Linked DNA regions of Sus scrofa. The protein of the gene in region 1 purifies or fractionates together with the protein of each later gene. This does not show direct contact. Links are inferred from orthologs where the notes say so. Each region holds a gene or a part of one and is shown on either strand. Other genes may lie near its edges.

The links. The genes of interacting proteins can lie anywhere in the genome.
Region 2: the proteins of TNRC6A (region 1) and AGO3 purify together in Homo sapiens (affinity purification with mass spectrometry; 7 studies listed by BioGRID and IntAct, with this or other methods). This does not show direct contact. The link is inferred for Sus scrofa from reciprocal best matches to the Homo sapiens genes TNRC6A and AGO3.

The regions. Positions count from the first base shown.
Region 1 is NW_018084874.1:820,869-825,127, reverse strand, and holds the start of TNRC6A (trinucleotide repeat-containing gene 6A protein), read left to right. Parts: upstream 1-1,400; 5' UTR 1,401-1,531; intron 1,532-4,259.
Region 2 is NC_010448.4:92,154,669-92,158,317, reverse strand, and holds part of AGO3 (protein argonaute-3), read right to left. Parts: intron 2,391-3,649; coding exon 2,256-2,390; intron 1-2,255.

The sequences.
Region 1 (4,259 bases):
ACACTTTCATTTGACTTTAAATCTGCAGCAAAGACCAACCACCCACCTTAGGGGAGATAAATCCATCATCATCCAAGTATTGGAACCTACGACAACCAAAGTCTTCTTTTTTTCTAGATTTTTAGCAACATTCGTTTGTGTCAAGGATTCCTTGAGGCGGTAGGCTTATCTGGAAGTAATTAGACTCAATGTCTGATATTGAGCAGAATAGGGGCGGGGGCTGGAGGAAGAAGCAAAATTGGGGTGTAGACCAATAGAGGAGTCACATTTTTGCACGCCCAAATTTGTGTGCCTCTGAAATTTACATCTGCTACCTCTGTTGATGTTTTTGTTGCCTCTGACAGACACTGCTGCACCTCCAGGATGGGAGGGATCTTGCTTCAGGCGTTTCTTTAACATCTCGCTTCCTTTTTCCTTTCTCCCAGCTTAGCACAAAACCCACCGCATAGTAGGTGCTCCATAAAAATGTTTGTTTAATAAAAGACTGATTGCATGCAGGAACCAGTGAGAAAAGGAGGTGATGGCAAAGGGGAGGAAAGAAGCCTCAGAGATTTTTAACCCAGATCTTTTTAACTGTATCGTGATCAAGGAGGGAAACGATGCAATGCGTGTTTGGAGAGAGATGGGGGGGGGGGGCAGGGGGAGAAAGAGTGAGAGGGAGACAGCGTGCTGCAGACAGCCGAGAGCTGCGATCTTTAAAAGGAGACAGCCTAATCAGAGCCAGACGGGGCCCCACCTGACTCCTACTGCAGCTAGGAGAAAAAAAAAAAAAAAAAAAAAAAAAAAGGACTAGAAGGTTCAGCCAGAGCGGTCTCTCCTTCCCCTGCAGCCCCGCAATCCTCCACCTCCGCCCCACTCCCACTGCTCCGTGAGGAGACATGGACGCTGTCGGGAGGGGAGGCAGCCGAGGTGGACTTTCCAGAACGAGGCAGGATGGTGTGAGCGCAAACGCCCTGCAATTGCTGGAGCAATGGTGGCGACACTTGAGTTATGCACAAAGGCTGGAATTCAAATGAGGCTGGCACCGCTCCAAGGCGCAGTAGCCAGGGAGGAGGGAGAGAGGAGCATTAACGATTCCTCAAGATCTGAGCGTCGCAATGGGCTCCGAGGCTCCCCATCTGCATCCCTCCCTCTATCACTGATTTCTGGGGGGAGGGGGCCTCCTCCAGAAGCACTTTCTCTGCCAGTCTAGGCGCTGGGGGTGGGGGCGGGGGGGCTGAAGTTAAGGCAGATTGGCCACATCACATGATGGGGGACCTGTATCATGTGATGACTCCGGTGATGTTGGAGGCAGCATGTGACTCCCAGGGCTACGTGGGCTCAAAAACAATTTCAATACAAAAACACAAGCAGGTTCCCGTCCTCTCCTTTGCCTTTTGGTCTGGCTCTCCCTCCCGTTGGGTTGACGCCTGACTGCATGGAAACCCCGTCGTCTTGCCGCCACTAACCTGTGAGCACCGGGTACCTGGAGACCAGGCCCCTCAGCTGGGGGGTGCCCCCAGGAGCGGTGCCCCAGCATTCCCGCAGCCTGGTAAGTTCCTGAGCACTCGGAGCGGTTCTGTGCGAAGCTGGTGCACACTGCCTGGTTCGCGTGCGCGGCACCCTCGGTGGGCGCCGTAGGAGGAAGGTGCCTGCCGGGTCTGGGACGCGGCGGCTCGCGGCCCCGCCAGACACGCAGGCTTCCTGGGGGCGCAGCGCGGCGCCGCTGTGCTGGGGCGGCAGGAGCCACATCTCTCATCGCCCTGTCTTCCCGCCTCCCCTTTTCGCTCCTCTAAGTCTCTCTTCTCAGCCTCTCTTCTCACCTCCTTCCTCTCCCCTCCCTCCCCTCCTATATTCTCTTCTCACCTACCCCCCCCCGCGCCCCACGTTCTCCCTCTCTTCCCCCTTCTCTCTGTCTCTCTGCTTTTCTTAGGAGTTTTCCTCCCCCCTTACACATTTTTTGGTACCTAGATTGTATGTGCTTTCTGTCCAGACCCTGCAGGACCAGCTTCTGAGGACTTGGTGTTTGAAAATGTACTCACTGTCCCTCCTGAGATGGTTTGCTCCCTAAGACAATGCAAGTGGCCCCTGTTCCTGTCGTGCATGTGTGTGCAGGTGCCTGCGTGTGATTGATGGATTTCTTGGGGGCCATCAGAACTGTTTCTTGGGTGGATGTCTGCTGGCTCTGATCCCCACTCAGCGGGGGGCGAGGGGGGTCATCCAGCCATAGGAGTGGCGGTTACACCAGTGAGGGGACCATGTCCTTTGACCCCAAGGGTCTGACCGTCTGTGGGAGACATCGGGTCTTCAGGCAGGAGTCAAAAATCCAGGGCTCCGTGCTTGGCGTTTGCTTGGATGTAACCGGGCATCTCAGAGAGATGGCTCAGAGTTTGGGGCCGCACCTTTGCAGAAGAAGGCAGAGCACTGGCTGAGAAACTAGCTCTGGGGAAGACAAATGTAAATTCCATTATGGCCGCGTCTGTAGCTACGTAGGAGGGAGATGGTGGTGGTGGCAGAAGTTTCAGGTTCACGTTCTCCAGGTCTGTTGTCATCTGTCCAGCAAGAAATAATTAGCAATTGCTGAGCACAGTCAACCCAGTGATTCAATGAGGAGGGGCTGTTTGTATCCCCATTTTAGAGATGGGGAAACTGAGGCAAAAAGCAGTTACGTCACTCGATTGGTAAGTGATGGAGCTAGGATTTGAGTCCAGGCAGCATTTCTGTAGAGCCTGCACAGTTAACCACTATGATAAACTACCTCAAAAAAAATGAGTTCCCATCGTGGCTCAGCGGTTAACAAACCCGACTAGCATCCATGAGGACACAGTTCGATCCCTGGCCCTGCTTAGTGGGTTAAGAACCGGCATTGCCGTGAGTTGTGATGTAGGTTGCAGCCGCAGCTCAGATCATTCATTGCTGTGGCTGCGGCGTAAGCTGGTAACTCTAGCTCTGATTCGACCCCTAGCCTGAGAACCTTCATATGCAGCAGGTGCGGCCCTAAAGAGACAGAAAGACAAAAAAAAAAAAAAAATCTATCTACATTCCCATGAGACAGGTGGTGTGCAAGGTTTGGGGCTACATTTGTGAGCAAACAGAGACACCCTGTTCTCCTAGAATTTACAGTCCAGTGGAAAAGGTAGCTAATAAACATACCATCACACAAGACAATGTATTTGTTTCCTATCAGGGTATTTGCTAGGAAGGAGGACAATAAGTAGTGTGAGGCTGTGTAATAGGATTCATACTTCAGTTGGGGGGGCAAAGGAGAAGAGTCGGTCAAAGAAGTCCTCTCTTGGTTAGGACTTGAAAGAGGAGCAGGCATCAACCAGATAAAGCGCCAGGAAGAGCATTCCAGATAGAGGGAATGGCATATGCGGGACCCCTTGAGGAGCAGCACGAGTGGGGCCATACCAGGAGGTGAGGCACTCTGGATGATGTGGGCCACCGCAGGCCTCGCTGAAATGACTTGTGTTTCATCCCAGGATCAATGAACAACCATTAAAGCATTTTAAAGCAAAGACGTAGCGTGATCAGAGCCTCCATAAGAAAAGGCTTGTTCTAGAGGGGTGTCTGTTAGTTTTTGCAGCATTACAAGCCACCCTAAAATGCCAGGGCTTAACATAGCAGTCATGAATAGCTCATCATGCTGCAAGTTGGCAGTTGCACCTGGGTTCATAATGGGCAGTAATTCCGTCCTTGCCTGCGTTCACTCATATAGCTGGTTGGCCGGCAGCTTGCAGGGGGAGGCTGATTTTAGGTGGTCTCACTCACATGCCTGCTAATGGACAGAGGCAAGTGAAACATGTATCGCCGTATCTAGCAAGCTAGCCTAGTTGTCTTCCTGTGATGCTGGGTTCCAAAATCGGCACCAGGAGGGGAACCCCAATACAAAAGCACTTTTCTTTTTTTTGTCTTTTCTAGGGCTGCACCCACGAGGCATACGGAGGTTCCCAGGTTAGGGGTCTAATCAGAGCTGTAGACGCTGGCCTACGCCAGAGACCCAGCAACACAGGATCTGAGCCGCGTCTGCAACCTACGCCACAGCTCACGGCAACGTCGGATCCTTAACCCACAGAGCAAGGCCAGGGATCGAACATGCAACCTCATGGTTCCTAGTCGTATTTGTTAACCACTGAGTCATGACGGGAACTCCCAAAAGCACTTTGCAAACACCTGTTTGCTAGTACTCCATTGGTTTTGACACATTCCTAGCTCAAACCTGGACTCAAGGAATGAAAAAAATATATACCTCTTGACTGGAGTTACAAAATACTGTGTCT
Region 2 (3,649 bases), on another chromosome or scaffold:
AAAAAAATTTGTTTTCAAATCTTCGCCTTGATTTAAAAAAAATTATCAGTAAGGTTCTACAAGCCTTCTAAGTAAGTTTTTATCAAAAGCAAGTTGATACACTTACATACATATGGTACTTTTACCATATACTTCCCCCAATATTTCTGCTATTAACCATGATAAATTATTTCATAAAGAAACCACTCTAAAGTTATCATTAAATATTTAGGAAGAAGTTCAACTTGAACCAAATGAATATTGTACTACTCATTACAGAACACTTTTTATCACTATTTAATAGTTTATCATCAAATTCCTCATGTCAACTAAAATGTAATCCCAAATTTATAGCACAGAACATGTAACTTTGATTCTCCTGCATTACTTAAGTAGGAATACACGATGTACTTTAAAGAGCCCGCTTTAAAAAAAAAAAAAAAAAAAAAGGGAAGAAAAGCCTTCTTGACTTTGGAGAAAAAAATACATCAGTTTGTCAGTTAGATCCAACTTAGATTTTTCTACCCCAAATCAGTAGTCATAGGTACCTAAGGATTAGATCCAATCCAGGGGTTAGCAAAAGCTGGAAATTAAAAAAATGGACTAGATAATTCTCTGCCAAGGTCCCTCCCCAAACCCTCCATCCAACCAAAAAAATGTTTTTGGGTTTAATAAATCAAATATTTAACCTATAAACTTGGCTTTACCTTCACTATAACATCAACTTTATAATGCTTTCTAGTCATTTTTTCAGTCATTTCTTTGGCCCCCTGAGCAGTTGAAGTTAAGATCGAGTCCATGCTCTTCGGGCTGCAGTTGAATCCTTTTGTTCTGTACATCTTGTATTTTCTGTGATAGAGTGGTGATATGAGTTGATTGCATAGTTACCGCAAAATAATTAAGTGACTTCATGATATCAGAGGTGGTAACTAAGCAGCAACTCCACTGGAAACCATGGCATTTAGATGATCACACATTAATGGTGGGTAATGCACCTCCCAACAATACTAACTGCATTTAATACAGATTATGAAAGGACAATGGTATGGTTGCAATATAAGAATACATAACACTTTCTTGAAACAAATAACTTGAGATAAATGGATGCTTATTTTCGAAGCAGGAAGATTTTCCTTTCAATGTTTTATTGTAATGACTCTCTCTCTTCTGATTACTGAATGACAAAGAATAAATGATTACTCGAGCAAGCAGGATGCATTCAGCTAAACTAATTGATTTGGGGAACTGTAAGATGTTCAGAGAACAAACTTCAATGCTTCATTCAAACCATAAGCTGAAATTACCTGCAACAAATAGGCAAAACCTTAAAATGAAACATAATTATTTCTATTTAAGATGCAACACTTACTATAAATAGAACTTATACTATTCATTCTAAGAGGATATCTAATTTCTCTTTGTATCTAAATAATAAGGAACTAAATACAGTGGAGTTACATCTTATGTGAGGATTAGGTTCTAAAGTCATGAACAAGGCAAGGACTTTATACAATCAACATTACTCCTGAAAAATCCCTTAAATTGCTGATAAAGTACAGCATATGTGGGTTTGCACATAAAACTGTGTTTGTATATAGAAAGGTACTAATATACAGAGTAAATATATATAAAATATAAATCTGAGAATACAACTGAAATTAATTTTTTATTTTTCTCTTTGGAAGAGCATGTAGAGATGAATTTATACTAGTAAAAAACACACAATGCAACACCACTGTATAAATTTTAGCTACTAACTAAAATAGGCAAGATCAATGGTCAATTGAATAATGTATATGAAATAACTAAGTTTCAACTCTAGAACAAGATATGAAACAGGCTAGCTTCATATCCATAAAATTTACAAAGGGATAAATATTCTGCTAACATTTCAGAAAAGTAAAGAAATTATTATATTAGCATATGTTCAAAGAATGGCTCCAATTATGAAGCAATAAGTTTTTGGAACAAACCTCCTATTTTCAACAGTATCATAGAAGCATTTTCCCATGGGATATTCTCATACCTTCAGCTAGTAAGGGAAAGTATTAACAAAGAATTAGCTAATATCAATACGAATGCCTTTACTTGGTATTTCTATCATTGAAACATTACCTAAGATGTTATGGTAATGAATTTAATGTGATATTTTAGACCTAATCTATACTTTTACTGATGATGTTACATGAACAGATTTTAACTTAAAAGAATTTCAATAAAAGTTTGTTATATTCATGCACTTTATAGTTAAGTTGTCCAAATGCTAATTAATTCACCTTTTATCTCTTTGGTGAATTTTACCCGATGAGAATCAGTCAGAGGTCTTGGTTGTTCATCAATATTATGAATGTCAAGAACTTCACACATGAACTGAATTACAGGTTGTGCTTTGTAGAAGGCAGTGGCAGAAACTAAGAAGAAAAACACACATAGTACAAATTAATGTTTCCTTTAAAAAAATGAAAAACTTGATCTCAGGCTCCATGATAATTAACTACTTATAGAGTTAAAATTACCCTTTTATGTATATCTATATACATAGGTAATTCCAAAATTAAGCAGTTTCAATTGATTTGTTTGACTGGAAGACAAATACAATAACAGAAAAGTGTATTACAGTTTTTATAATCTATCTCTCTCATCATGGGTAACAGACTCATTCCCTTCCCTACTACATGTACAGAACAATGTTCTGGCTATGAGACAAGGTCTGTAAAGAGACAAGGAAGCCCAGGGCACCTTAGAATAAGAAATGGTTCGGTATTATTTCTTAAACAAAGCTTCTGTGTTAGCTCAGAAGGCTTATCTATTCTAGCGAAATGTCTATCTATTTCCTGCCTGGTGTAGACTTGAGAAGACGGTGGCATTAAATGTTACTAGTACTAATCCAAGCTATAAGTAGTAACAGTGAGGGTATCTGCCCAATGTTATCCAGCTACAGTCAGCAGCCTTCTAAGAGTTAACAAGTATGATTTCTTAATCTTGGGTTTTGGAACTAGAAGAGCTTCACCAATAATTAGCAGACCACTAGCATTCATTGCTTAAAACACATACTTGCTGACTGCTATTATGTACTATAAAGGCACTGGAGATATAGTGAAAAGTAAAACCAAAACAGACAATAAGCTACATGCTACTGTGTTATTTTTTTATTTAAAAAACATGCCCGCTGTGGTGTTCTTTTATGATCCCTGGTTTGGGATTAAATGTCTTCCACAAAATGTCCCTTATCTCTGCAAATATATATATATTTTGGCTGTGCCCACAGCATGTGGAAGATCTTAGGACAGGGATCAAACCTGTGCCACTCAAGCTGCCTGCTGCAGTGACAATGCCAGATCCTTAACTGCGCCACAAGATAACTCCTGGAAGGATATTTATTTATCAAGGCTTTAGTAGTAGTTATTTCAGGATAATGAGGTTATTGACATATTTTTATTTTCTTCAATTTTATCTTAAATCTTCATTTTTTTAATAGTGAGCACATATTACTTTTTCCTCTGTTACAGAAATAAAAGGAGTTCCCGTTGTGGCTCAACAAAAAAATTAACAAAAAAACATTACAAAAAAATTAACAATGTCTTAAAGATCTTTCCATGTCAACACTTTCTTTTTAATGACTTCATATTATTCTACAGTTTGGCTGCATGGTAATTAAATGAATATACAT